Rhinolophus ferrumequinum: one gene and its partner. The protein of the gene in region 1 interacts with the protein of each later gene in a pairwise test. Links are inferred from orthologs where the notes say so. Each region holds a gene or a part of one and is shown on either strand. Other genes may lie near its edges. The genes, in order: LHX9 and KHK.

Evidence for each region.
Region 2: the proteins of LHX9 (region 1) and KHK interact in binary tests that used the Homo sapiens proteins (3 or more experiments, as listed by UniProt). The two-hybrid records come from large-scale screens. The link is inferred for Rhinolophus ferrumequinum from reciprocal best matches to the Homo sapiens genes LHX9 and KHK.

Annotation. Positions count from the first base shown.
Region 1 is NC_046310.1:2,812,901-2,828,051, forward strand, and holds the start of LHX9 (LIM/homeobox protein Lhx9), read right to left. Parts: upstream 5,638-15,151; 5' UTR 5,202-5,637; coding exon 5,028-5,201; intron 3,104-5,027; coding exon 2,901-3,103; intron 1,829-2,900; coding exon 1,473-1,828; intron 1-1,472. UniProt on the Homo sapiens protein: Involved in gonadal development.
Region 2 is NC_046296.1:53,555,501-53,570,669, forward strand, and holds the start of KHK (ketohexokinase), read right to left. Parts: upstream 6,264-15,169; 5' UTR 5,596-6,263; coding exon 5,504-5,595; intron 2,189-5,503; coding exon 2,072-2,188; intron 1-2,071. Other genes in the region: EMILIN1 (EMILIN-1), read right to left, coding at 6,789-7,126, 7,566-7,703, 7,861-7,878, 8,320-8,436, 8,797-10,719, 11,849-12,069, 12,541-12,666, 13,627-13,796. UniProt on the Homo sapiens protein: Catalyzes the phosphorylation of the ketose sugar fructose to fructose-1-phosphate.

The DNA of each region.
Region 1 (15,151 bases):
GCGGCTCTTACCCGGGACAGATTCGTCCCCATCAGCGACATCAGCCGATATCCCCAGGAGGGAGCCGAGCAGAGAGCTGGAGGGCTGACCCAGCGGGGCCTCCCCTGAAAACACTGGGCTCAGAGCAGGACTCCTAGTTCCCACTGGCAATGGGATTCCCTTGGGCAAATTACTTATCTGGCGGGACAGTGTTGAGAACCAGCAAAGCTCAGGCGCCCTACCAGGCACGTGGGGACTGGAGAATTAGCAAGACCCGTGCTCTGCGATGTCCACACTTGGTGCTCATGGTAAGGGAGTGGGATTGCCACCAGGAGCTCCCCAAGGTCCCTTCCAACAGACTGGACTCCCCTAGTCTGACTCTTCTGCCCGCCACCGAGGGTCCCCGCCAGGGCCAGGGAAGTCAGAGCAGCAAAGCCAGTCCTTAGGCTCCCCAACGTTGGCCTGGAGCTTCGGGGACCGCTTTTCCCAGGGCTGGGGCTCATAAGAAGAGCGTCCCTCCTGCTCAGAATTGTGGTCCTCACCGTCCCCTCCTGGAAGGTGGAGGGTGCGGGCAGGCTACCGACAACAGGAAATGGGTGGGTGAGAGAGACTGACCCTGATAGGTATGTGCCCAAAGCGAGAAAGAGGGTGCTCTGTGGCCTGGTCCCTGCATTGTGCTTTTAAGGAAATGAGAAGGTAGGTGAAGGACCGAAAGGCAGCCCGAGACACCAGGAAGCTCCTCGGGGCGCCTGACCTGGAGGTTCTCTGTCTTCCGCCGGCTGGGTGCCTGCTGGTTCACCACCCGGGAAAGGAGCTGGTAAGCCCAGTGCCCTGACTCCGGGAAGGCGCGGGCCAGCTCAGCTGCGCACACTGACGGCCACCCCGCCAGCTGCCTCTCGCCAAGATCAGGGGTTTGGTTTCTCAACACTTGCCAACTGTGTTCCTGATTAGCCACAGCCTGTGCCCCTCTAGACAGACTGGGCTTGGGCTCTGAAGATTTCTTTTTCTTTTTTTTCTGTTTTTTTTCTTTCAGTAGGAAAGCCTTCTCCAGGATCTATAATGTGGCTTCCACACAGGAATTGCCCTGGGGCTGTTTTGCTCCAACTGGGAGCCAGAAACTAATGGGCTCGTTAACTAAGGGGCACCGCGGACTTGGCTCCGCCGGGTGGGGAAGTCATCACAGGCCTATGGTAATGGATGTGCCTCTCGCCACAACCTAAATAAAGGTCTCTCTCTCTCTCTCTCTCTCTCTCTCTCTCTCTCTCTCTCTCCCCCTCGCCCCCCCACCCCTGCTTTTCTCCCCCTCCCCCTCTCCCCCTCCTCTCCTCCTCCATCTTTCCCTCCCTTCTGCGTGAAAGGGACTAGTAGTGGCAGGATGGGCCTACTAAGCAAAGCACCCTCTTGGAACCCCATCTTGGGCCGGAAGGAGCTCAAGTGGAATCGTCTCGAGGTAGCAGAGTCCGGGGCTGAAGCGGGTGGTGGTGGGCACCCACCTGAGTTGTAACTGACGAGGTCCACTCCCAGCGCTGGGCTCTTCCGTTTCCGGGGCCGCCCCTTCTGCACGGTGCCCGTGCCATTGAAGTAAGGCAGGGCCAAGCCTCCGCTCTTGGCCGCCAGCTCGGTGTAGCTCAGCTGCGGTGGGTACTCCCCTTGCAAGAGGGTCTCGAAGTGGGCGCGACAGTACACCAGGCTGTCCTTCATGCCAAAATGGTCGCCCGTGGTCAGGGTCTTGTTGCAGGTGGAGCAGGTGAAACAGCTCAGGTGGTAGACAGAGTCTCGGGCGCGCATGACCATCTCGGAGGCGGAGATGCCAAGGTGGCAGCGGGCACATCTCTGCACAGAGAACCTTCTGGAAGGAAACAGTTGAGTCAGGCGCTGGTTGAGGCAAGGCAGGGCCATCTCCCTCCCGCTACACCTGGGGCTTGGTCAGCGGTGGCCCAAGCCTGAGAGGGAAGGAGGGAAGGAGAGGACGGGGCGACTTTGGCGTTCATTTCACTCGTTCATTGACCTGTTCTAGGCAACGGGACAAAGAACTCTTACATTAAAATCGGAAGAACTGAGTGACTAATCCTCAGTGTCCTTCTCTGTATAATGGAAATTAAAAGCAACAACAACAAATACAAAAAAAAACTGCACTGGCTAACTCCCAGGGCTACGGAAAGAATACTGAACCGCGATGCAAGTGAAAACATTTCATCGATTACAAACATTCTGTGAAGGAAGGGTGGTGTTTTTTATGGGTGTGTGAGTGTGCGGAAAGCATGCAGGCAGACACAGCCCCGGACAACGACAATTTTGCAGGGGACAGCGCATTCTTTTCTAGCCGCCTTGCTCGCTCGCTGCGCGCAGAGCTAGGTCACCTGCACAGCACCGCTGGGAAGAGTCAATAAACGCGCCTGCCGGGCGCTGTGGAGTCTGGCGGCCGGTTCTCAGCTGCGGCAACGGGGACTCGGAGCTGAAGGGTTTGGCTTTCGGCAACGGCCATCCTTTGTTTCCATGGTCATTTCCACGGTCTCCCGCCACCCCTCGCGAAAACCTAACACCCAGCGGCTCCTACCCGGGCCACCAGTTCACTACCAAGGCGCGGACCTTGCCCAGTTCGTAGTAAACGGAAAAAAGCCGCTTTCGTCTCGGAGGACCGGAACACACTCATTCAGTCTTCCACGATTTCCCGGTTCCCTCCGAGAGTTGCGAGGGGCCGCGAGCGCGCGCTGTTCACCGAATACGCTCCGGACCCCGGGTCGCCCCACCCATCCTCACCGGCCGTCTGGGGGGCAGCAGCTTGAAGGCGTGTGCAGTGGACTTCCCTGGCCTGGGGGCTGATGACTGCTCCCCGAAGGGGCAAAAGCCGGGGCCGAGCGAGGCTCGGGCAGATGGCCGTGCCAGGTGTAGCGGGGCGCCAGGGACAGGGGCGGGGATACCTGTAGTAATCCTCCTTGCAGTAAATGCTGCCGTCCTTGGCGAAGCAGGTGAGCTCGGACTCGAGGGCCAGCTTACATTCACAGCACTTCAGGCATCTCAGGTGCCACTGTTTGTCCACGGCCAGCAGGTAGTACCTGTCCGAGATCTTGCCCCCGCAGCCGGCGCACAGGGCGGGCTTCTCCGGGCTCAGCGGAGGCATGCCCTGTAAGGAAGGCAAGCACACCGCACGCTGAGGAGGACGCGGGGCCGCAGGACGCGGGGTCCCGGGGCAGCCGAGCCGGGGGTCAGGGGCCAGTGTGCCAAGGTCAACACCGGGAAGCGTTTGCAAAGTTCCCTTTGCGCTCACTCCCTTTCTACGCCGTCCGCCGCAGCCCACGTTCCGTCCTCCCCGGACGGGTCCCCTAAGGAACAGGACAGGCCGGCCACCTCGAACCTCTTTTTAAAAGGGCTGGGAGCGCAGGGACGATAGTTTGGCGCATGTTTCCAAACTCGAAAAATCACAAGCTAAAAAGTGTGGCTTTCAAGGCATACAACATCAAACAAGGGAAATTGTTATTGGGGAATGGAAAGGAAGTTTGAGCGAGCACGGTTGTTTTTAAACAAACACGATAACAATTCTGTTTCTCTAAATTCCTGTGAACAGCCTTGACATTGAGAGAAATGGCTAGATTTTTATGCCTGTGCTCAGAGGTAGGGCTCCATTGTTTTGATCGGGATATATTTGTCAGGTCTTGCTTTCGCTAATTTTCAAGGATACTGGTTCTCCTCCTAGCCAGGGTGTTTAGTGCCTGTTCCCAGGGAGGGTCCGTTGTCCCGTGCCCTTTGGACAGTGCCTCTTTCCCTGGCTTCCACATATCTTGGAGATCTTTGTCCTGAAAATTTGTTTGGTGCCCAAATTCAGCTTCCCTCCTGCGTCCCCACCCAGGCGTCCAGGAACGGGAAATCTCACCTGGACAAGCCCAGCCAGCCCCTTCGCAAAATTCGGGGTGCTGCTTTTTGTTTTTAAGCAGGATGACTACAAAAGGGGAGGGGGAAGAAGCTAACCGCTGGACTTTTATTTCCCTGCAAACCGGCAGAAATGGGTTGGACGAAACTTTGGCGGGCCTGGAAAGGGAAAGTATTGCCCTTGACTCAGATCAGACCAGGGACGTGCGCGGAATTCGTGTTTTAAACGTAGAAACACCCACGAACTCGGCTCCTTGGTGGACCCAGAGCACGGGCAGGTGGGCCCAGAGCAGTGCCCCGGGTTGGTCTGAGCTACAGTTCCCGGTGGGATGCCTAAGGATCCCCACAGCTCGGTCGCACTGAAATCATTTCCGGAGGCTTTTGTAGTTTTTTCCCCTCCTGCTCGTAAGTGGGAAACTCGTAGATTATTAATTGAGTTTTTATGAAGCAGACATGCCTCTTGTTATTATGAATAGTAGTGACGGTGGTAGTGCATTACATCGTTTAAGGGTTAGCACTTTCTCGCGCTCCGGCCAAGGACCCCGCTCCTCCGGCTTTTTATTAGATTTCCCTGCACATGACACGCGTCCCGCCCGGGAGCTGAGCGCAGTCCTGACTCGCTAGACGGGCCGAAGGCGGCTGCCAGAGACCCGGAAAATCGCTGGGTTTGGGGGTGCCGGACTCCGAGCGTCTGGAGAAGTGGAGGTGGCTCAGACATTTCCAGTCCACTCCAAAGGTCCGGTCGTCAGACCCGAGACCAGAGCCACAGGGCTCCCGCCTGGCCCGGACGCCTGGGCCGCGCGCAGTCCGCCCACCGCCCGCGCCCAGCTCGCGCTTCGGGCCGTGATACTCGCCGGGGAAGCGCCCGGGAGCCCAGGGGACCCGAAACCGAGTCTGAGGTCGGCAGAAGAGGAGGTCCCCATCCTCTCGCTCCCGGCTCGCTCATCTCTCCGGGGAACAGCTGCGGCAGAGGGTGGAGAGCGCGGGGTCTCAGTAGTGGAGACATTTCAAGGCAGAGAGGTGCCCGGTTCTAAGCCCCATTGACAAGGTGACGGGAGAAAACCCACCCGCCAGTCTGGAGCGGATGTCCCCACGACCCGCCATCCTCTGTGGGCCGCCAGGAACCGGGATTCGGCTTCCAGAGCGCGCAGGGCGCCGGCCCCGCCTGGGGCCCTCCTTACCGCGTCGCGGCCGTTGAGCTGGGCGCCTTTGGCCAGGCGGGCCTCGGTCTTGGATCTGCGCTCCATCTCCTCCATAATGCCTTGGATGTGGCCTCCCGAGATCCCGTGGAAGAGCATGGCTGGGGGGCGGAAAGGACACGCGTCGTCTTCTGCTCGGCACCCCACTATTTCCATATACACGCGCCCTGGGCTCTCAGCTCATCCGAGGGAAGGAGCAGAAGCGACCGCAAAGGCTGCGCGGTGCAGGAGCGCGGAGACGCTCGGGGACACAGGGCAAGAGGGAGACAGGGAAGAAGAAAGAGGCAGACAGGGTGGAAGGTGGTCTGCTTGGAAAAGAAGGAGAAAAAGAAGGGGGATAAACCGCCCCAGCGGCTCCCTGAAAGAGACGTGCAGAAAACAAACAAACACTGGCGGAGCGGAAGGGAGACGAAGAAGACGAATCTTAACGGCTCCGAGAGATCGAGTTACTAATGAGAAACAACTGCAGCGGGAGGTGGGGCAGGGGGGGACAAAATCTGTGCAGAAAGAAAATAGTTTTGAACACAAAGAAAGAAAAAGAAGTGCTATTTTCGGCGGTCCCTGGCTGCTTGCAAGTTCCCAGCGCCTGTAGGTTGGGTTGGGGACTGCTCCTGCCGGAGCTGTGTCCAATTTGTTAAGAGACTAAAGCCAGCCCATTTTTGATAATTTAGTAGGAGGAGTTCTCTCCCAGGAGCTGCCACCGATTTTTATTCAGACAACAAAGACCTGTCATACTCCTCTCAACCCCCTGGTGATGGGCAAGCGGGGACAAACATTACAAAGGGGGGGCGCGGGGGGAGGTAGTGGGTGGGGGCATTTACTTCCCCCCCCCACAGCGTGCGCGCGTGCGCGCGCGTACACACACACACACACACACACACACACACACACACCCTTCCTAGAGTTCCCAGCAATCCCGTTTTAAAAGAGCCGTTATTGCCCCCCCCACCCCCCGCCCTGGTGCTGGAAGCAGCCAACCGGCCTATTTGGTCCAAGTTCAGGATCAGACCTGGCTCAAGGCAAACAGAACAGCCAGCTTCAAATTTTGGGTTTCTCTTGTGTGGACTTTCTGGACCCCAGCTTACTGGGACCCCAAATGACTAAATATTGGAGAGACAAGCCTTCCCTCCCTCACCCCTCTTCCTCAGCTCATGTTTTAAAAACAGGTCTCCTCACCTCCCCAGAGGGGTGCGGACCTTGCCAGGGGCCAGTGAGTCCCTCAAAGTGAGAAGGGGCTAGGAGAGCCTATGTTTCTGGAGTTTACATTCGGGCAAAAATGATTTTCTTTGAAAGGTGAGTGTAGAGAACAGGGGCGTGGCCTGCTTGCAGGCGTGAGTCTGCAACTGAACGCGGCCTTGGGGTGCTGCATTCTCTTACCAAGTTCAGGTCGAAGGGAACGTGCTGGTGAGTCTAGTGTCCCCTTTAGAGCTTGTCAATGTGGGCAGCGACTCGGGGACTCCGTGAGCTCGGTCCATGCCTTACTGCTTTCTGTTCCCACTGCCCTGGCAGGACAGGGGATTTGAAAAACGGGACATTTAGGAGGATGTGAAAGGGACTCCTCGCTGTGGAGGAAGGGAAGGTGAGATCTGACATGCAGAACAGCAGACCTGTACCCCACAAGAGGCCAGACTGTTCTGTCTCCCTCTGTTCCCGTTAGCGGCAGCCTCTCCTCGGCCCTATAAAAAAGTGTCCACAATACTATGAGATTGTCGATTCATTCAAACCACTAGAAGTCCCCCAGAGGCCTGAAGCAGGAGTGGCAGGAACCAACCCAGCTTTAACCCGACCGGAGGAAGCCCAGGCTGATCCGTGCCCCTTTCCTCCCTCTTGCCTGCCTGTCCCACCGCTCCCCACGACTTTCCAGGGAACAGTGGGGTCAAGTCCTGACACGTCCTGGTACTTCAGGGAGTCCCCTGGTGGCAGACTCGCTTCCCTCTTCGGAAACCTACAAGGAATGCACTCAAATCTAGAAAGAAAAAGGGAGAGGGAGAGGAGGAAGGGAAGGAAGAAGGAAAGAAGGAAGGAAGAGGGAAAAGAGAAGAAAGAATGAGAATGGGGTGAAGAAGAAAGGAAGGACATGAGCCAGGAGAAGGAAGGCAGGCAAGCAGGTAAGAATAGAGGGAGGGAGGGAAATACCACCGTGCAGCAGCCTGACTTCCTGTCCTAAAGCATCGTTTTCTGAAGCTGCTGGAGTCACCTCTTGCGTGAAACCCAAGACTCCATGCTTCTCCTTGCTCTTTTCTCAGGGTCAAAAATGATGTTATTTGCAGACGGGGCGCTATTGCAATCCTCAGGGTATCAGAATGCAGCTCGTAAAACACAATTTCACACAGAAATTAAGCCAATCAAGTGGACTAAGTTGGAGACCGCCCCCCCCACTCCCCCCCCCCTCACTTTGGAAGCCCTACCAGACAACTGGAAGGCTGTTTACTGTAAGTAAATGTAATCAGCCCCTTTGTATGGAAATCAATGAGCTTGGCAAACCCACGTGCACAACGAAGGGCCCCAAGGAGGGGCTGGGACAGCCACCTTCCTAAGACAGCAGGTCCTGTCACCAGAGCAGGTCGCCTCCCACAAATCAGCAGCTAAATGGACACAGATCCCCGAGCAGGAGGAGAAAGCAGGAGTCTCAGAGACGAGCATCCGTTCACCCAAGGAGGCTCCGAGGAAAAAGAAAAGATGGGACCTCAATCCAGGGACCCGCTTTCTCTAGTTTATGAGCAAAACTCTTGCCCCGCCCCCTCCAAATGGGGGTTGGAATTCACTTTGGCTGTTGCTGGAATTTTGGTCCTTCTCGGCGAAAAAAGCGAAGAACTCGTTCTTTGCTTGCAAGAGATGAAACTTTGGAGATTCCATGAAATGAAAGTTTAACCAACAACTCCAGGAAAAAGTCAGAACTTTGTGACAAGTCTCCAGGGCAGCCAAGGGCAGAAGTCCTGTCAGCCCTTCATTCATTCATTCATTCATTCATGCATTCATTCATTCCGCTCCTCTGTTCCACGCATATGTGTTAACTATCTATCAGATACCGGTAGAGCAGGGCGCCTACTGGGTTGCCTCCTTTTTCCTATAAACGTCGGGTTATAAGTTCCTGCACCCGGTGGGATTGGCCACTCCCATAAAGAAGCGAACTGCAGGACTCCTCCTCAGACGGCGCAGGAAGTTTGCAGAACGCTAGGGGTGGGGCAGGGGGGCTGCCGGAGTTTGGGAGGTCCTTGTTCGGTCTACGGAAATTGCAACCCAGCTTCCTCCTACAGTTCCTCAAAGAGGAAGAGTGGGGTGGAAGAGGATGCTGGAGAATTGGGTGCGTGACCTGGGGCGTCTCGGAGCTCTGGAAATTTACCTAAGAGGGCCCCTCCTCGCTCTCCCTCACTCTCAAAGGACAGTAAGCACTATAAGGAGAGTTCTTTGTGGCTCTGCCTTCTTTCACCTCTCACGTGGAGGGGCTGGGCTCGGCGGCCCGCAGAATGGTCGGCGAGTGCCATAAAAGCCATCCGCCCTGCCCGAAGCCCGGAACACCGTCTGGAGTCTCCTTTCTGAACTCGGGGCTCCGTTCGGAGCAACGGGGCCGAACCCGTCCAGAGATGCCCTCCCGCACAGCTGGGCACACGCCATCCTCTCCTCTTTCTGCTCCACCAGTCCCCCGTCGGCTGGACTCTGGCGGGGCACAGGAGCGGACTGAGGGTTCAAGGTGCTGGATTCTCCACCAGGGCGAGGGCGGTACCCAACTCCCCAGAGGGAAGGGGAGGGAAAGGAGAGAGGATGCATGGCTTTCCCCAGGGGCAGCAGAGACGCTGGGCTCCAGAGAGGAAAATAACCCAGCAGATCTGCGTCTCCGAAGATCGTAAGCGGCTCGAGGTCTCTTTAGACCTGAATTTTGGAGGCCAAGATCCTGTGCCCCCGGCTTTGCCCTTCAAAGGGCAGAGGTCACCTTTCCTTCTGACCCTAGTAAGCTGGTTAAGGAGCCCCCTTGGTCTCGAGGTGCAGCTGCTCAAGCAGTATTCGGCTTTGGGCACTGTCGTGAGAACCCTAGGGCCCGGGAGTCAGTGCCTTCGGGTGGGTGGGAACCGCTCACCGAGTGCGGCGCCACCCAGCCCTGGGCGCCGGGCTACGCTGCGCGAGCGGGGAGCCAATGGCCAGGAGGCGCCGGGCTTTTCTCCAGTCGGTGGACAGAGGGATCTCAATGTGCCAAACTCTCCACCAGCGAGGGTGGCAGGTTAAGCCTGGCGCTGCCTCACGGGCGCGCCTGATTCAGTCCCACTAGGAAGGCCTCGGAATCCAAGGGGAGTGGGCCGGAGGCTCGGATGTGCCGAGGGTACCCGGACCGCGCTGCGTGTGCTCCTGACCACGCACCCTCTCCGCGCCCGCAAAGCCTCCGCCGGCCGCCTGCTCCCTTCACACCCCTGTCTTCCACAGACCCGGTTCTTCTCCAAAAGGGGATGGCCGCCGAGTCCAGCACAGCGCGCTTCTGCAATCTGCAGGCCCTTTACCTGACATTTGCAGCGCCGCCCCAGGAATAACCGACCTGTCCCGCACCGCGTCCGCTGAAACGGCGGAGTGAACAAAAGCAACGTGGGTGAAGCCGCTTTGCAGCGAAGCCCTGCCCGGGTGACAGCGCTGTCTGCACCGTCCCTTACCCCTTCCCAGAAGGAGATGCCCGGCAGCTCCACCGAGGGTCGGAGCGCAGCCCTCCGCGCCACCGACTACTCGCGGCTCAGGGGCACCGTGACCTCCGCCCCCACCTCCATCCAGCGCTAAGGCAGACCCTCAAGAGAAAGGCTGAAGCAGGGACACACGGCTTTCAGGAAGCCTGCTTGGAGACTCTTACTGACACTGTGTATTTTAGAGCCTATGCAGCGCAGGGTAATTTCTAAGACAAATACACACGCCTCTTCCTTCCTCCCAGTGACGGCGCGCACACGCGTGTGCACACACACACTCACACACATGATATGCACACTGGCCCAAGGAAAAAGGCAGCTAAAACGAGAAGGCCCCGGGCACTTAACTCACCTGCCTCTAGAGTGGTACCGGTCAGCATCCTCGGAGCCCAAGGTGCGGCTCACGCCGCGATGGTGGCTGTCCTGCAGACAAGAGCTGCGCGTCAGCGGGCGTGGCGGCGGGGACCCCGCGCGCCTCCTCCCACCCGAGGGTTGTCGGAACCGCTCCCCCGCTATGACCTCAGGTGCCAGCGGCCGTGCGTGCAGCGGGTCCACCCTGCCCCCCACCCGGGTCCGCGCGCGCCCAGGACAGAAATCTGCTCGGGCCAGGCAGAGCCCATCGGGTCTTACCTTGAGGTCCAGACGTCCGCCTAAGACTCTGGTGTCCCGCGAGGTGGCAGCGGGAGGTGTGGGCCGGTCCTCAGGCCTTGCCGAGGGTCCTCTGTTAATCCAAATAAATAAACCATTGGATGGGAACCTCTTCTCTCTCTCTCTCTTTTTCTCTCTCTCTCTCACCCGAATCCCTCACCTCTGACCCTCAGATCCCTCCACCTGTCTTTTATTTTCTGTATATGCTTCCAGCGCGGGAGGAGGGGAGCGCAGAGAGTATCCCCTGGCCGGTGCCGGGAGACGCGCTCCGTCCCGCCCTCGCAGCCTCTCAATAATCCGGGGAGGTGTTAATGGAGGCCTCACGGTTACTGAACCTCATAAAGCCGCAGCATTTTGAGGCTTGGGCGCCGCGGGAGGCTGGAGTCTCGCAGTGCGCCCTGGGCTCCGGTCCCCATCCGGCCGTGGCCTTCCCGTGCTCCCTCCCACCCAGAAGATGCGGTCGCCAGCGGGAGCCTGCATAGACGGCGAGGGGCGGTAGCTCGCGCGGGGAGCTGGGCCAAGCCCTGGATTGCTCACCGCACATTCGCCCGCCCCTCCCGGTCCTTCCTCACTCTCCGCACTCCAGGGCGGGGCGCGGGAACCTGGCACTTTGGGGTGCGCTTGGCGTTCCAGCGGGGCGTTGTCAGCGGGTCAGAGCGCCTGCGGGAGGTCTCTCTCCCGCCTGGCCCGGCAAGGAGGCGGGGATGGCGATTAACCTTCCAGGGGAGAACCGACTGTAGTCCTGGGAGACGAGCCTTTCGGGGATGAGGACAGACTCCCAGACCCGGGACAGGAGGGGGCCCTGTTACCTGGTCTCAGGTCCCTGAGGGCCTGGGTAGCCCCAGCAGCCCCGGGAGCAATCAGGCCGCGGGGAAGCGACGGAGAACCAGGAAGCCCGGCCTCTGGGCAATGATTGCCCCACTCCCCCACCCGGTGCGCCCCTTGCAGCCAGAGATGGGCGTGGCGGGGAATCACCGCTGGGGCAGGGGACGTGAGCAGCGAGATTGGCCGCTGCGGGATGCAGGTCTGGAGGACAGTGCCACTCTCCGTACCCGCCCCTCTTCGCTGTCCCCCCGGTGGCTCCTCGGCGGTGCGTGCGCTCAGGGCGCTGTGGGCTGGGGGCGCCCGCGCGCCTGGGAAACAGTGTGCGATGCGGGGCACGTGCGGCTGGGCAGGGGTGGATGCCCCTCTTCGCCGAGCTTGCCAGCTCCGCCGCCGCACAGTTTAGGGGTGGCAACGGGTCCCGCAAGAGCCCCTAATCCAAGCCCTCCGACTTTCCCCATCCCAAATCCCGAATGAGGCTCAGAGCACCCGGGACAGAGCCCCTCTCTGTACCCGCACACGTGGCTTCACCAGGCAGTGCCATCGGCCAGCTAGTCCACCAGTCCACCTTCTAAGTTCCCCTCGTCCCGCCGTTCCCTTCCCATCCCGGCCTCCTTAGCCTTTTCTCTCCCCGAGAAGCCCCCAATCTCCGTCCGTTTTCGCAGCCAGGGAGGCGACAAGCCTTCCCGGTTCAGCTTCTATGTTCGCTGGCGAGGCTATTGGATGGATGGATGGATGGATGGATGGCAACACCCACCCGAAAACGCTGAGGTGCTCTCAAGCACCCCTGTCCAAAGCAGCGGTTTTTATCCTCTTTGGGTGACGAACCGTTTTAGGTCTGTGGTAAAAACATGCATTCTACAGACACACGCGCGCGCGCACAGAGGTGCGCGCACTGAACCACACACCCCTCACATTTTAGAATACAAATTTTGGGTGAGAAGATGCGGTCGTCAGGAATTTCCCAATCCCCTAGAGCCATGGTTCCCAGTTTTTGCACTTTTACACCCAGAGTCTCAGGAAGGGGGGCCGCGAGTCTGGAGGTTTTGTGTCTTGAGCCCAACCATAAAACCCTTAGTGGGGACGAGTTCCGCCCAGCGCCGGGCGCTCCCGCACAGAGCAGGGCATCCAGAGGGCCTGGGCGTCCCAGGAACCACGCAATCCCAGGGCAAAGAGAGCTGCTGCGGGTTCTTCCACAGCCTTTTCTAGAAATCAAGGTCTCCACAGAGGCGCGCAAGAGGGTGCTGACAACCCCCCCCCCCAAACACACACACACACACTTCAATATGCCCTTCTTTTTTTCCTGAGCGGAGGGGATAGTTTGGGCAGAAGTACTGTTTAATTGCTGCCGGGAAGTGAAAAACTGCACGGAGTCTTAAATCCTCCACCACGGTGGGCAGATGTCCAGTTCACACACCAAGCCTTTGATCAAATGTGAAGATTGCCGCATGGCAGGTGTCGGCATGGAGTGTGTATGTGGTTACTTCTGAGCCACCAGTGACCCTGCGGCTCTAGGTGCTCCTAGGAAGGCAGACTGCTGCTCGCCTGGCAGTGAGCCCCTGCACTAGCCTCGTCCTGGCGCCTGGAAGTGGAACCGCGCATGCGAGTGCCTTAGGATAAGGGGCCCTGCGGAGGAACAAAGACCCAAGCCGGGCCGAGGGGCATCTCCCCTTCTGGGGGACCCTTAGGTTCCAAACACAACCATTTTGGAGCCCAAAGTTTCATGGGGGTGGGGAAAACCCTTCCCTTTCTTGCTCCGCAAAACAGATGGGGCCAGTGTGGCTTCTGGAGAGAGGGAATGTGCACGTAATCCACAGGAAGGAAAGAGCCACTGAGGCTGGAATCTATTCCTACCCTCCATCCCAGTAAACCTCACGAGATTCTGCAGCTTCCTTTGGGTCTTTCCGTGTTAGAAACAATGTAGAATCAATGTCCCTTGATTTATGGACTCTTGGGGCAGGAGTACCCAGAAACCTTGAAAGTGGAGAAGCACCAGAGTAGATTTAGACCGGGAAGTCTCGACTTCTCTGCACACACGTGTGTGTTTGGATACACACAGCCAGTAAGAAACCCGAATTGTACTTTACAATGTGGGAATACAATGTAGCTTGAAGCTCTTGCGGTGAGGCCCATTTATATGGCCATGTTGTGTTTAATGTGGGAGCACCATCCATGCCGCCACCCTTGACGTGTGTGTGTATGGTTCACAAGCATCACCACAGAACCACAGAGAACTTCAGACCTTGGCTCCCAGCTCCAGATGGAGGAAAGAGGGAGAGCTGCCCCATCCCACCCCACCCCACTTGTGACTCTTCCTTTGCTGTTGTGGCCAGGAAGAGTCACAAGTCCCACATAAGGTCCTCCATGGTGGACATCCGGGTCCTTGCTTCTTGGGACAGTTCCCCACTGCAGAAGTAGGCGTCCCATAAGTTATTTCCATAGCCAAGGGGCTTTCTCAAAACAGTGCCTCACATTCATTTTCAAAAGGAATGCCCTTTTCTTTCTCTTGTTTCTCTGGAAAGATGGCCCTTTTAGACTCCATTTCTTTCTCTTATCCCTCTTGGGACTACTGAAGGAAGCCCCATCCAGCCCGCACACAGAAAATGGCCTTGGTCATCTTCACATCTCGTGGAAAACATGGAGCTAGCAGGCAGCTCCTTGACCTAGCAATGGAAAGGACATTGGCTCCCAGGAGTTCCTAAGCCTTTTGAGAAAGACCAACTGCCTCCTCCATCACAATGCTGACCCTTCTCCAGTTCTCCTCAACACAATTTCCGGAGAGGGAATCACCTGGCCACAGAGAATGTTCTTTTACATCCTAGGAGCTATCCACACCTCACAGGATCCAGGGACTGTGCTGCTTAGGGCACCACAGTTGAGCACCACCAACTTGGGGAAACAATGTAATACTATGTAATACTTGACCTAAAATGAACAATAGAAGTCACCATCCATGGGACTATTAGAACCTCACTGGGGTTCTTTCCACTTATTTTACAGTTTAGAAGGGCTTTTGTTTTGAATTGAACGTGGGAGAAGGCACCAGAGCCTTTCAATTCCTTACGATCTTTAAAACACTTCCTGGGGCCACAAGCAGAGACCAAAGCAGACCCCGGGGATGTTCAAGAAGCTTTCAGTTTCCGGCAGGAGAACAGGCTGAGGATCCATTCTGGGTATAGCCAGCCTTCCAAGTGGGCAGCAGCCTTTTTGTTCGGAACAGTTTCCATGGGCAAGAAAAGGCTTGCTTGGGGCTACTGTTCCCAGAGAGAGCAGAGAAAAACAATCTCTGTGGGCTCCTAGCCCAGGTCAGACACTGAAGCCCAGGGCTTTCATAGCAGAGAACGAATGCTATGGTTGTAAAGCTAACAAACTGTTCTAAGAGAGGTCCACCCAGGAAATGGCGTAACAAACAGAGGAGTGAAATGTGTGTGGGGGTGGGGAGAATGGTTTAATCAAGGCGTCTTACACGGCCTGACCCCCAGTCAGAATGATTTAAAGTTTTCATTGAGAGAACAGATGGAAGGTGAGAGCGGCTCTTGACACAGAGTGCTACTTCCTGGACGCTCAGATGCTGCACCAGATAGCATTCTATCAACCTCCTTGTAGCTCAAGATATAAATAAAAGGAAGAACATCTTCAAACTCTTCTATTTGCCAGCAACTTCAGTTGGGTCGCTAACACTGAGGAGAAAACAGTAGGAGTACTGAGGCTACGAGAAAATCAACAGCTACTAATGTCACCCGGTCGCTACTATTTATTTAATGGAACAGTCATTATTTTCTTTCTTCAACATATGTGTCTGATAATGAAGCAAAAAGGAAAAAAAGAAAGAAAAAAGAGGAAAATAACTATCAGTGCGCCACCTTAGAAAAACACAAACATTTGCCAGCTTTTTTCACTTTATTGATGTTCTTTTAATATATGTACTTCAGGTCAAGTTAGTGCTCAGACACCAACAGCCCAGAGAGCAAACCC
Region 2 (15,169 bases), on another chromosome or scaffold:
TGACACGGGCCTTCAGTTGATTCAAGCTGGAAAGGATTTTCTCGCATCCATAAAGCTAACTGGGGTAGGTTTGGGGCCTAGAACATGTGCCTTGTTTGAAACAAGTAGGTGAGGACACTGTGGCCTGTTTCATGCAAAGCCCAGGCAGAATTAATAATTACCAAGATGAATAAACAAGGGGAAAAAGTTTTTTAAAAATGAATTACCAAGATGATACTTTGCTCCCCATCTGCCCTCTGCACACTCATCCCCAGGGCCCTCTTCTCTCTGAAGTCCCTTCCAGTCCAAACATGAGTCCTCTCATGCTACACCATGATGCCCAGCCAAAGTGGTGCTGCCTTGGCAGCCCTGCTCACTGTCCTCTCCTCGCACAGTGAGGCGAACCCTCCCGGGCAGTGAGCTGGCTCCCAGTGCCTGAGGCCCCTCCGCATGGGCATGGTCCAGGACTCTTGCCCAGAATCCCCTCCAATCAGAGCGAGCCCGGGGCAGCCCCTCAAGAAGACTACACCAGCAGGAGAACAAGGAAGCCAGGCCCATCCCTCCTGGCCGTCTCCGGAAATGCAGTGTCCTGTGCTCAACAGTTGGCACTTATGTCAGTCGACCAGCCATCATCTTGGCTTTTCTCACTAGGACTGGATCCCACTTATAGCAACACCAAAGCTGGACAATACAGATTTGTATAAAAGTGAAAAGACAATAACGCTGGGAAAATAAAAAAGCAGCTGTAAGAGAGGAAGACCAAACATGAGATGGACTGACTCCATAAAAGAAGCCACAGGCATGAGCCTACAGGAGCTGTTAGGGCAGGACATTGTGGACATCATTCATTCACAGGGTCACCAGGAGTAGAGGCTCAATGGCGTGTCACACACACACACACACACAAGTCGGGACATCGGTCCTTGTCTTACACTTCAAAGATCCTTTAAATAGTAGGTTCCCCATAGTCTGGAAAATACGGTTTGGTTTGCCAAATAACTTTCTGCACCCATAGTGCCTGGCACATGGCAGATGCTCATTAAATGTTTGTTGAACACAAGAGGAGAATTCGAAATGGCCCACTATCAGCATGATTGCTACATAAAGATGGGTCCACTACCTGAAGCAAGAGCCAGTCTCGCTTCTAGCTGGGAGGGAAGGCAGCTGCTGGAAAGGGTTAACAAGAGACCAGCTGTTGACTCCGGGACCTTCTGTTCCATCTCACAGGGCAGGCTCTCACCCCTTAATTCGCTCTGTTCCAGTTCATCAAGGAAGGTCATCTGGCTGTGGCTCGGGGGCAGGGCTCTGGCAGCAGCCTCCCTCCCCCTCCAAACCAGGGTTCAAAGGGCTTTGCTTCACAGGCCAGCAACCTGGCAGCCTACTCCAGTGCCCACAGTGGGCAAAGTGTAAGCCTCACCTCCTGATAAGTGCATGCTGAGTTGGCAGTGCCAGGGGGTCAAAGGGACCTTGGGTCCCTGCAGTAGCCAACAGAGTGTAAGTGTGTAAGCCACATACTGGCTGCAGCCTCACAGCAGATGAGCCGGGAGGCAGGGGTCTGGGCCCAGCTTTAGCACGTGGCTCCAGAGTATCCTTGGGCAGGGTGCTCTTGCTGCTTCAGGGAACAACTGGGACACGAGCACTGGCCCTGCCCTCTCAACTGGAAAAGAAACTGTAGGCCTGGACCCTCAGACCATGGATGCTGGACAACTCTCAGGGAGGGTGGGTCCACCATGTCCCTAATTGCCTTCTGCCTCAAGCACTGCTAGAATAAAGAACTTAAGAAGGGCAAAGTCACATCCACCTCAGAATCTGTTGGAAGCAAAGAAGGAGAAAGTGGGGAAGCTGGAGCAGGCTCCAGGGAGTGGACAGGGAAACAGGCTATACAGATGAAACTTTTCACAGGAGCAGTGTTAACGCCTGAACAGCAGATAAACCACACCAGGGAGGGTCTGGGATGCTGGTACTCCTCTCCGCCTCCTCCCACCCGTGTCTGGTGGCCACACACCTCTTCTTATAGCCCACCACCCAGGGGTAAGACTTTCTTCTCTCCCCACCCTGAAGGCAGGCCTCCCCTGCACCCTCCTCAACTCACTCAGCCACGTGGCCTGGGGCCAGCGAGCCCATGAAGGCACAGGGGGCTCCAAGCAGGGAGAGAACGGTACAGGAATTAGATGCGTTGCCTCCACGCTGCCATCTCTGGGACAAGCACCTGCAAAACACAAGGAGGGTCCCTGCAGTGCCAGCAGGCTGATCCCGAAATAAGCAGGGCTGATCACAGTGCCTGGGTAGGGGCCACAGAATGTAAAAGCTGGGAGAACTCCTTCTGAAAGCAGCCAGGCCAGTCTTCCCATTTTCTAGATGGGCAGCCTGACGCTAGGGAAGGACAGTGGCTTGGCTGAGGACCAGGTCTGTCTCTCCAATCCAGGCTAAATTCAAATGCACAGCAATGAATTTCTATCTTCCACCTATGCTTATGACATTAGGAAACCATTCACTCAGATCCGTCACAACTTGAGGGTTCCACTCCCTCTGGGTTACCTCCTCCTCAGTTACAATGGCCCGCTCTCCCCCAGGCACAGCTGGGACAGCCTTCTCCTGAGAGCTGGATAACTACAAGTGCTGCTTCCTTCCCAAAGGTGTCAAATCTACTATGTGTTCCTCTCTGAGAAGAGCTGTTTCAATAACAACTCAAGTTAAAATGAGTAAGACAGGAATCAAACCCACTGTGATCATTTAAGAAGTGAGGGTTGGGGGGTGCTAACTTTCACAATATCAAAAATTTTAAAAAGATTATTGGGTGAAGACCAGTTTTTCTCCATCGTTTTTTTTTTGGTTTGTTTCCTTTTATTTTTTATTTTTTAGCTTTATTGAAATATAATTGACATATAACATTCTGTAAGTTTAAGATGCACAACGTGATGATTTTATATACATCTATATTGCAAAATGATTACAATAAGGTTAGTTGACATGTCCATAACATCACATAGTTACCTTTCTTTTCTTTAGTTTTTCTCCATCTTTACTGAAAATCTAACAAGAGGAAACTAACTCAAGATACACCTGTATGACTTCATTGTAATCATCAACAAAAATGATAACTTATGCATACGTATCAAAGCACTTTAATGATATCTCATTTGTGCGCCAATAATACTGTGGGGTAAACAATGCAGGATGTTATTTCTATTCTCCCAGTGCCAAAAAGAATAATAATGATAACTTTGGCCGCTTACAATAAGAGGAACAAGTACCAAAGAGCCATTAATTAAGGGAAACAAATGAAGCAGAATTTTTAGACTAAAGTTTATTTGTACACAAAACTTAACCCTGGACTTCCGTTCAGGGAAAAGGGGACCATAATCTCATTAGAAAGACGGATACCAATTTGTAAAGGGGCAAACGTTTCTCAAGCTATGAGCTTTAGAGGAATTTTCATGCCGAGAGGAGGAGCCTGGAGGCATTTGACTTGCTCAAGGTCACACCAATAGTTAATGACAAAGCTACTATGAGAACCCAGGTTTCCTGACTCTTAAACCACTGTGGTGTCCTCTGTATTTCTGAAGAGAGAGTAGTCAGGCTCCAGCTTGAATGAGGTGTCAAAAAAAGGGTATAAATTGTACTATGTGGAAACCCTTCAAAATTACACTGATACCCAACTTCTGGGGCAGGAAGATTCTAATGAGCATGAGGATACTTTCTGGAAGGCTCTTCTCGGCCTGGACTCTGGGAGACAGGGCCATTTCTCAGGGGTCGGGCCAAGTACCAAGCGGCAGCTCCAGTGAGTCCCCAGTTTCCTGTGGAGCCTGGGACAAGTGGGGCTGAGATGGCTGAGGACTGGCCCCGCTCAGGCTTGCTCCTCTGTGCTGGGTGGGATGGGAGCACAGGAGAGAGGCCCTACACAACCCAAGTGCTCTGCAGAGGAGCAGAGCCAGGGGTCTGGGGGAGGGGAAAGTACACCTAAGGGCAGCTGTACTGAGAACATGGGCTGGCTCTGTTTAGAGAGGCACCGCACTGAGTGCCCACCTTCAGAACCAGCCCCAGTCAGGGTGGGAGCTAGCAGGATCTCCTCACCCTGGCCTCCTGACATAAGCTCAGAGGAACGGGGCTGTAGCTCTTGTCGAAAGAGGCACTCTGGGTCTTCCCCAGGCCCTCCCCAGTCCTTGGAGGACCTGTGGCCCTGAAATGTAGACTATTCTTCTGAGAGGACGCCTAACTCCTCACTGTGCAGGAGCGGGGGCTGGCCTGTGCCTCTCCCCTACTGGCCCCGGCACCCCTGGCAAGAGGCTCTAACCTCTGGCAAACAAAGCAGCCCAAAGCCAAGGGTGAGCTCCATGAGAAGGGCAGCAGAAATGGGATGGGGTCACGACAGACAACGGAGGGCTGGAGCGCTAAGCTTGGAGTTAGGAGGCTTGGGATGTGATGACTGCTCTGCCACTTGTGAACCACGTGGCCTTACAAAAATCATAATGTCTCTACATCTCCCTCAGCTATAAAGAAAGGATCTGATTGATCTTTACACACTTCCCATGTGTTGCTGTGAGGAAAGTATGTGGTAACACATATGACATTGCTGGATGATCCCAAAGCCTGAGGAACGCCCGGTCTCTCCCCTCTATTAGCCTCGTGGCTATCAGTGCTGTAATGTCTTGCTGAGCTCAGTCTTGAATTGGCCTTTTATCCAGAATAGCCAAGGAGCAATTCTTCTCAGTATTCTAAGCACTGGACTGCACCAAGAGAAAGGCCTGTATTTCACCCACAGAAATACCTTCTTGGGATTACAGTGTAACAGTGGGGTTCTTATCAAGAGTAAGAACCACCAAATGACTCTTCATCTTCTACCAGACAACTGAGAAGAACGTTTTTCACGACAGACTTTTCCTTTTATAAAAAGGACTTCCGGTAAGCTCCTTTTGGAATTTAGCACAGGGGAAAAGTCTGTAGTGACCAGCTCTGTCCATAACCCACAGCATCTCCAAAGTTGCCAGTGCCAGCGAGCCCTGAGCCACATGGTGAAGCTCAATACCACACCTTTAAATGTTCTTGAACAATCTTAACTGTACATACTTTTTATGGTAGGCTACCTCAATTATTTTAATAGATGAGATACATATGTACTAAATAAATGAGAAGTAAATGCTGGTGAGAGGCAAGTGCATAGGTCATGTTAAAAAAAAAATTGGCCCTACACTGTACTAATTGCATGCCCTTGGATAAATCACTTCGTCTCTCAAGAGTGTCTACTTGCTTATGGGTAAAATGGGGATAATCATACTTGACATAGTCCCAGGGATGAAATGAGAACTGGAGAACACAATGCTATCTGAAGTCTGGGCCTTTTTACTGAAGGCCTCACTTCTTTCCCCAGGTGTCGGGCAGAGGGCACGGGGCACGGGCTCCCGAGGTTGGTCTCTCACCGCCTTAATGCGGGGCCCCTGACTCCGTGGCCCTGTAGTGTTGGCTGCCAGGCACAAACACGGGGCTGCAGCAGGCCCTAGTCTCCGAGGGGCCCGGGTGCCCCTACCTGCTGTCCGTGTCCTCCTCCGGGTACTTGTCCACCACGTTGATGATGTCCAGCACCACCAGCCCCACGCACAGGATCTGCTTTTCTTCCATGAGGCCGCTCCTGGAGCTTTCTGCCCACCCGGCTGCAAAGATTCCTCCCGGTCTGGCTCTTATCCCTTAGGATTGTATTCTCTGCCCTGGCTCCGCCTCCGCGTCTCGAGCTCCTCCTCCAGGGAAGCCTCCTGCAGCGGCGGCGGGTGCAGTGGGGTGCAGAGAACCTCGCTCTCCACGTCCACCGATGCAAGCGGACGTGGGAGCGCAGACCCCGAGGTCCTGGCCACTGGCTCTCCTTAACAGGTTGTGTGGCCCAGCAGATGGCAACGCCTCCCACTTCTCGGCCTCAGCTTCCTCACTTGTCAGACGGAGGAGCGAAAGCACGGCTAGGCAATCTCATGAATGCAAAGAGAAAGTCCAGTAGAAAGGCGCCCCTAGCTCGCCCTTTCCTGCACGGGTGGCTCCCACGGCACACCCTAGACCCACTGAGTTGAGCGGACCTCGCAGCTGCAACCAGTTCCCGCAAGTCCAAGCAGTGGCTCGCGCGCCCGCTACTGCACAGCGGGGCCCAGACGCTCAGCCAATCCCAGTCCGAGGCCCCGCCTCCGCCGGGCAAGGAGAGCGGTGATGGTCACGTGACGGGAGACGGCGCCCAGCGACCCCTGGCGGACGCCGGCGGGACGGGCGTGACTGGGAGGAGGGTCTCACCTGGGTCTAGTGTGGCTCGCACGTCCGGTGCAAGTGCTGGCAGAGCCTCGCAGCGCAGAGCGGAGGGCGCGAGGCGGGGTCCGGAACCGGGGCTCCCCCATCCTGTCCCTTGTGTACTCCTATCTATACCTGAACATACTGAAGCAGACGGGGTGTTTTGTTTTGTTTTTTATAAAAACCAAGTGTCTTTATTCCTGAATAGTTTAGTATGGCGGTGGGGTACTCTCCCGAAACACCCTCGGGAGAGCCCTGAAACCCAGGGAATCAGCCTAGAGGCCAGTTGGGGGAGTAAAGAGGGCCATGATCGGCTCTTCCACAGTCCGAGTCCTGCAGGGGACAGCGATCAGGCCAAAAGTCTGGACGAGGGGCTCCGGAAACCCCAACCCGACGCACTCCGTTCGTGGGGAGGACGCTGCTCTGGATGCCAGTGCCGCGGCGGGTCCCGAGACGGCGACTCGCCCGGGGCTGGGGTGCCCGGGATCGCCGCCCCCGCTGGCTCTTTGGCCGGCCTAGACTCCGGGCAGGTCGGCCCAACCCCCAGTCTACTTCTGTTCTAGTTCCAGGTCCCCGTAGAGCAGGGCTCCGCTGAAGATGGTGAGTGGCTCCTCCGAATGCGCCAGCTGCCCCATGACTAGATCGATGCAGACCGTGTCCCCGGCCTGCAGCGGCAGGATGAGGCTGAAGACACCCAGGGCGCCGGGGCTGGGCTGGCTCTCAGCCACAGGCTTATTCTCCAGGCCCTCAGGCTCGTAGCCACCGGAGTCTATGCGGGCCACGCCCAGGTTGGAGCGGGACAGCACAGCCTCCACTTTCTCGTGCCGGTGCCCAGTAAGCACTGCGCTCAGCAAGTAGCGGCCGGGCAGTGGCGCTGTGAACACGCCTGGGGACAAGGATAGCAGTCAGGAGGACAGACAGGTGGCAGAGCCCCTGAAGGCTTCCCGACCCAGAACTCTTGGACTAGGGAGGGACCTGCTGGGTCTTTTCATCTCTCTTCCACCAGACTGTAAGCTCCACGAGGGCAGGGGATTGCGTGTTTTGTTCATCACCGCATCCCCTGCGCTCACAATAGTGGCCTGGGCAAGAGCCAGACCCAGTAAAGAGCTGTTGAACCAATGGCTCCTCCCGTCCCCACCCCAGTGCTCGGCCCAAGCTGTGGTGAGAACGAATAAATGAAGGAAAGAACAGGCTCTCCCCAAACCAGAGCATGAAGAGTTTCACCTTGTCTGAAGGGGCAAGAATGAGAGCACGTCACTGCATAGCCTCCCTGCCGCTCCCGCCTGCTTCCCCGCAGTGCCCAGCCAGCCTTCTCCCAGGCTTACCGGTCTCTGGATCGTAGTAGTCCCCATCGTTGAGCAGGACTCTGTCAAAGGGCACTGTGCCTGGTTCAGACCTGGGCAAACTCAGGGCAGCTGAAAAAGCCACCCGGGGCACAGAGACTGCTGGTGCCCCCTCCACTCCTGGGTGGGGGTAGGGTGGGTGTCAGAGTGGATGCTCAGTGCAGAGCTGCCTAGCCCCCTTCTCCTCCTGGGTCTCTACCCTCAAGACCACCTGAGGCCTTCCATCCTCCAACCCCTAGTTCAGTTCCCCTCCCCCCAGCATCACATGAGAACTTACCCTGTTCACCTTGGGGACCTGTGGGAAGAGGAAAGGGAGCAGTGAGAAGAGAAGTACAGCAGCTCTCACTAAGTCACTTGGCAAACATCTGCTGAGTGTGCGCTGCTGTGCTAGGTGCTATGCAGACTTCAAAGCAGGAAAGGGGTACTAAGAAAAGGAGGGATAGGTCCACTCTGTTCAACTGTTAGGCCATACCTCTTTAGCCCCTAGCTTTTCACATGCAACACAGGCCTTGTAGACTCAACCTTGGTCTTCAGTACAGCAGTGAGGCCGCCATATCCAATTAGCCAACACAGCTCCTAGTCATTTTCCTCGTCACTACCAGCCATCTAGAACTCCCAATTCCTTGCCCCTTTCCCCCCTTCCCTGTCAAGTTCAGAGTAGAATGTCAAGCCTGGGGCTAATCGGGGGGCATGGGGAGTGGTAACCCGGCTGCAGCAAGAATCTCAGCCCACATACCTGGTGGTCCGATGGGCCCCTTTTGTCCATCATTGCCAGGAAGTCCTGGAGGTCCAGCAGGGCCTGGAGGTCCCTGTACTCCAGGAGGCCCTGGGGGTCCAGCCTCACCTGCAGGCCCTACAGCGACAAACACAAGTTGAAGGAGAGCCACATGAGGAATTCCCAAAGGACAAAGAGGGTTGTGGCTCCATTGACAAGTTGATGGGACCCATCGCTGCCCGTGCTGGATACCTGGCAGGCAGAGCAGCACCCCACCTCCACCCACAGGCCTGTCCGAGCTGCCAGGGGAGGGCTGGGAGCTGGGACCTTGGAAGATCTCTTGTGGATAAACCAACCCTGGGACAGTGTTGGGTCTGCGATTTTTGCTGGGCAGAGCAAGGAGAAAGTGGATGAGGTGAAACCTGGGCCGTTGTGGGGGCCGGGGAAGGACTTGAAAGGGATACCCCCACCACCCCAGGTCTTCTCTTGCCCCCTCACCAGTGAGGTCCTTCAGGCTGAGCTGGTGAAGTCGGTCCTCCAGGAGCAGCAGGGAGGTGTTCAGGGCACTGAGCCGCTTGCCCAGGCCCGCCTGCCCCCCCAGCAGCTTCTCCAGCAGCGCTGCCTGTGTCTGGCTGGTGCTGTTGGTTTCCCGTAGCCCGGCCCAGAGCCCAGCCACGTGTCTGGAAAGGCCTTCGCGTAGGCCCTGCAGTCCGCCAGCCACTGTGTCCAACCGCTCACAGACTCCCTCCAGACGGCCCAATCGCCCCTCTAGGCTGGGGCACTGGCCAGCCTGTGCCTGTCCCTCTTCCAGGCCTCGGAAGCGCTCCTCACTCTCCGTAACATGCTCTGTGGCCTCCTGCTGCAGCCTGTTAATCTCAGAGATGATGCGGTCTTTGGTGGCTCCCAGGTCAGCCAGATCAGCTCCCTGGCCCTCCACGGTGGTCTGGAGCTCATGCAATGAGTCATTGAGGGAGCTGAAGGTGAGAATAACCTCGGAGAGCTCTCCTTGCAGGGCCTGTAGGGCTGAGCCTGAGTTGCCCCCAAACACACTGAAGCCATCCAGAGGCCCACGGCTTGGCCCCCCAACACCCGGGCCGGCCCCAGGGCCCCGTGGGGGTAGTAGGGGGCAAGAGCAGCGCTCCACACCATCCCGAAGACGACCCAGTTCCTCTTGGACACCACCGCAGGCCCCACAGCCCTCATCCCCACGGGCCTGCAGCAGACCCTCCAGCTGGCCCAGCCGTGCAGCTGTGAGATTCAGCTGAAGCGTGAACTCTGCAGCTATCTCATCCTGCGCATCGACACGACCCTGGAGCTGGCCTATGACCCCTTGTAGTCCCTCCAGTGCAGCCTGCTGGGCCTCCCCAGCTGCTCCCACCTTGTGCAGGCCTGAGCCTACCAGTCGCAGCTGCGCCTCACTGTCCAGCACCCTGCGCTCCAAGTCACTGAGGATCTTGCTGATCTGGGAGTCCTGCTCCCCTGGAGCCCCAGAGCAGAGCTGCCCACAAGCGTGCACAGCCCCTGCCAGCTGCTCTTCCAGCAGGTCTAGCCGCCCACCCAGCTCCCCACTCACATTGGCCAGGAGCCCCTCCAGCTTCTCTAGCCGGCCCCGGGCAGCAGGCAGCCAATGGCTCAGTCCCCCAGGATGCCCAGGCCAGCTCTCTTCCTGCTCCGAAGGACCCAGGGTGGAGTTGAATCGGTCCTCTAGGCGAGAGAGGCGGGATGCTAAGCTGATGTAGCCTGGGGGGTGACCCCCCTGCCCTGCCGCTCCTTCCAGCTCGGTGCCTCGACGCCCGCTCAACACTGTCACCGAGCCAGCCACGACCTCTAGCCTCCGCTCCAGCTCTGCCAATCGGCGGCCCAGCTCTGGTGGGCAGCATTCCTGAGGTGGCCTGCGGCCCAGGATCTGCCCTGTGAGCTGCCGCTGCCCCTCCTCCACAGAGGCCAGTAGCTTCTCCAGTGCTCGAAGCCGCTCCCTGTCCTCTTGCTGCTGCCGGCGGAAGCCATCCAGTCCCGTCAAGCACACAGAGCAGGACTCCTGCAGCCGCTGCTCCAGCTCCTGTAGCAGCTCCTCGCTGTGGCCAGGAGTTGGTGGGACTGGGTCCAGGGCCCTGCCGCCACTGCTACCACCACCACTGTGATGGTTGTTGAGATGGCCCAGCTCCTGGTCATGGGTGGAGACGCGATTGTCTAGGAGCTGCAGCTGCTGCTGGATCTCATGGAGGGTTTCGTGGACCCCAGGGCGAGCAGCTGCATCTGCTGGCTGCTGCCTCCCATTAAAGGCCGTCTCCACAGCCCGCTGCACATCTTCAGCCAGGCGCCCACTCAGTCCTTGCAGGACACCGCGAAGACCCTGCAGTTCCTTTGTCAGGCTCTGTACCTGCTCCTCCAGCTGCTGTACCTTCTCTGACTCCCCAGGACCTGGCAGAGAAGGGAAGGCATAAGGCTGGACCTCAGAGCTCAGTGCCTACCTCCTAGGTCCAGCTCCCCAGTTCCAACAGGTCAGAGGTCCTAGCTGATCTGGCCACCCCTTTCCTGGGTGATTTGGGCAAGAAAAGATGGAAGAAAACTCCCATTCACTAAATGCCTCTAGGACAAACCTTTCCCCCTTACAACTCCATTGGGCAGCTGTCATCAACTCTTCCCATTTTGCAGATTGAGAAATCAAGGACCAGAGAGACTAAGTAATTGGGTTGTGGATTACAAGTGTAATACATCGCAGGGCCAAGTTTCAAACTCAAGTCATCCACTGGACCACCGAGCCCATGTCCTTCCCACTGTCCAGAGGGCCTCTTTACTCTATGGAAACTGTGTCCTCATCTGTGAAATAGGTATGACACTAGGTTGCTCCCTCAGAACAAATGAAATGGGAATGTAGGGGAGGCAGTGTGGACTGCATGACAGTGGCTATTCCTGAACAGCACCTCTCTGCAACACCACGGGACAAACAAGGTTCCGTGGCAAGCCTGCGGGGGCTCTGGCTGGATGCGGGGAGAGTTGGCCAGAAGTTCCTGTTTCTATAATTACATCATGGTTATCTCTCTGGCAGGCAAACACAGCACATCCGCAGCGCCCAGCACACACATGGGAAAGCAACAGGAACTGCTGCATTCTGGGACCTGCCGTCTCCAGAGGCCACCGAGAGGCCTGGGACCTGTAGTCGGTTGCAGTGCATGCTAGGACTTGTAGTCTCAACTGTCTACCCCTTTGGACCAAGCTTCTCGAAGGAATTCCCCCTTCCTCCCGCAGCTGTTCCCAACTAGGAAGTATGTTGGCCACATGTGGGCGTGCGTGAGCACATTCACTTTCTCTGCCTTTTTCTCTTGGTCTCTTAATCTGTTACACACACACACACACACACACACACACACGCACGCAGGCACGCACGCGTGCGCGCATGTATGCACGGACAGGGAATCTCAGGGATCTCATTAACTCCCTTCTGCCCCTGTTTTTCTGACTTGGAGCATGGGGTTTTCCCTCAACATCCTGACCACATTTTCCACCCAATCCCATCTCCCACTTCTCTCCCCAGGGCTCCCATACTCACCTTCCCCCCCTAGTCCACTCAGGTGGCTGCCCGCACTGGAACCTGAGAGGTTGGGGCGGCCGGGCCGGGGCCGGGGGCGTGGTGTGGTCGGTGCAGGACCCAGCGCTGGGGCAGGACTCTCGGCACAGGCATCACCCCCGTACCCCTGACAGCACCTCCACTCCATATCCGTCACTGTTTTGTAGGCCACGCGGTAGCGAGGGCGGAGGAAGCTGCGGTACCTGGGAGAGGTAGAGGGAGGGCTCTTTACTCTTCCCTGTACGGTCAGTGACCCTGGCCCCTGTCCTCAGAGATGGGCAGCTGCTGGTGGGCAAGACCTGTCCCTCAGGCTGGGCCACCCTTACTGTCCAGCATGCGGCCTGGCTCCATTGACAGCTGTCAGCTTGCTGGCCAAGGGCCAAATCCCTATTCTTTCTCCCCTTGTGCTGTGCTGGAACCTTGAACTCCTCTCCTTGAGCATGACCCAGCAAGGAGATGGCATTCGGGGGCTGGCAGGGTAGTCTTGGTAAGTGTGTCCTCAATATCCCACCAAAATGTTGCCTCGGCATCTTCTCAAAATGGCTCCGACTGAAACCCCTGGTCCTGCCCCTTGCCACAATTACCTGCTTTGTACAAATTCCCTGAGTTGGCTGGTCGCCTTCCGTCCTAGCCCAGCCCCCTCCAACTACCCATTCCCCAGCGCCGGGGCTCACATCATGCTGCGGTGACACTGGGGCTGGCCCCAGCCACAGGCCGGGATCTCGCGCTTGATGAAGGTCTCCACTCCATCCTCAAGGACACAGCTCACTGTCCGAGTCACCACGTAGGCACACCAGTTCCTGCAGGCACAACCTCACCTGGGCCCGAGGGCCAGAGACACACGCCCCAGAGCAGGGCACTGAGGCTACCAGAAGGGCTGAGGGAGGGTCAAAAGATGAAGGGCCCCTGGGGACCAGTGGGAGCCAGGGCATTGGCCGGGGCAGCTCCCCCCACGCCTTCCTGTACGGGACGGAGTCAATAAAGACTTTTCAAGACAGGAGAAGAGGCACAGAATGGAAAACCACAACTACAAAAAGTTGATACATGGCTGGGGAGGGGGTCCTGGAGAGGCTCTGAATTCACACATTCATTCGTTTCGCTGTCTGAATCCCCAGCTTGGCGTGGCCTGTATGAGCCGGCTGGCGGGGGCCCTCTGGTGATTCTTTGGATGCTGGCTTCCACCCGCCCCGCAGGGGAGAGGACTGGGCAGGCAGGGGTCCAGCTCAAGGTTAAGCAGAGAATAAGCCATTGATGAGCCCTGTCCCCCATGGGGTTTGCAGTTCTGCACTCTTGGCCCCATTCATGCTGGCCTCTGATCTGTGTCCGGCTGGAGACCCGAAGGGAGCAGAGCAGGAGTGGTGTTAAAATCATGGATTACTAGATGGGCCGAGGAAGCCCTACACAGAAATAAAAGGTCTGCCCGAGGATCCCAGGCTGGCACACAGCTGGCCGGAAGGCCTGGCCCACGTCCCTCAGGGTAGTTTCCCTGGGCACCTAACGGCACGTCCCATGGGGAGGACGTGAGAGCCGATCCTATGAGGTTTGATGGGACCCATCTATGCAGGGGGGCCCTGGAAACACCCGGCAGGAAGGTGGGCGTGTGAGGAGCCATCTGATGGATGGGTTTCCTCTCCCGTTCTTCCCTGCATTGGCGATACAGCCCAGGAGAGGGTAGCCAAAGTGGGGCAGGGCCAGGATACCCACCTTCTGACCCACCCTCCCACCTACCTCCAGCGTAGGGCTGGGACCCAGATTCTTACCTGTGGCGGCTGGCAGGCCGGGGGGCACTCTGGGCCTGGGGCCCACCAGGGCTGAGGGCCCCGCCATTCCCCATGTAGAGGCTGTAACCACGAGGAGGGTAGCTAGCTGCCGCCACAGCTGTGGTCAGCAGGCAGCAGAGATAGCAGCTCCAGAGGTTCCTGGGGGCCATGGTGGGGGTGCTCCGCTGTGGCCCTCAGAGGCACATCCCGCCTGACCACTGGCGCCTCTGCTTGGAGTGGGGATGCCCGCTGCTCCAAGTTGGGTCCTGTCCCCAGCTTCCTGCTGGCAGCCCCCAGCCACTCGCCTCCTCCTTGGCCTCCTGGCCTGACCTCTCTCCCCCTCCTCTTTCCTCCTCAGGCTCCCGTCTGTTCTTCCCTTCGTTCCTTCCGCTCTCCTCTTCTCCACCTCTGAGGGGAGTTTGTTCTCAGTGCCCCCGGCCTCCTGTGCCTGGTCCCTGCCCCTCTCAGATGCTGCTTCCTGGGCCTCCGCCCCCTTGCCCCAGCTGGCCCTCCTCTGGTCCCCTATCTGTTTTCCCCAATGACCGGATCCTGGGGGTGACAGGACTTTACCCCTGTGGCTGTCCAGAGGCGCTAGAGTGGCTGTGTGGGGCGGGCCCTGGCCTCCCGCCTCTCTCTCTTGCTTACTCCCCTCCCTTCCCCCCTGTCTGGCTGGCGGTCCAGCCTCCCCCTTCCTCCCCCCACCTCTCCAACCATCGTGCGCCACATCTGCTTCTTGTTAACTCCGGGAAAAAGAGGGGAAAAAAAAAAGGAAAAACAGAGAAATGTGGAGTTGCCGCCGGGCTTAGGGCCAGCCTCTCAGACGGGCCACATGGAGCAGAGCCGGGGCCAGGGCTGGGGAGGAGGCCCAGGGCTGGCTGCTTAGACGGGGAACCGGGGAACAGGAGCTGGAGCCACAGCTCTCCTGGGGCTAGGGCAGGCCTCCCCTGGGATAGACCTGAGAGAGGGGCCTGGAGGGGACAGGAGGAGGGAGGACTGTAATAGGAGAACAGGCTTGGAGGGCTCCGCAGGACATCACTCACAACCAGTCCAGCTCTCTCCTTTTTATAGATATGAAAATTGAGGCCCAGAGAAGGAGAGTAACTTGTTCAAGGTAACACAGCAGATCAACAGCAGGGCTGAGACTAGAATCTAAATACCTAGGTCATGACTTGAGAGAAAGAAGGCGGATAGGAGAGAGGGCTACTGGGTCAAGTAGAAGGAAAAGGACTCCACTGAGGCAGGCAGGAAATTCAGAGACGCCAGAAAAGGAAGAAAGGAATCTGGAGAAGGGGGAGCAGAGGAGGGAGCCTTTTAAAAGGCCAAATGAATATGGGTCCCAGGCTTGTCTTAGTGAGTGTCAGGCCTTAAGTTGGGGAGGGGAGGGAGGTATCTATATAGAAAATAGGGCCCTATCTATATAGAAAAGGAAGTCACTCCCTAGCCTGAAGGCAAGTCTGATAACCTCCGTAGCAGGCAAGGAACTCAGTCAAACTCAACCATCGGCCTGACCCGACAGCTCTTCCTGAGATGTCTGAATCTGTCA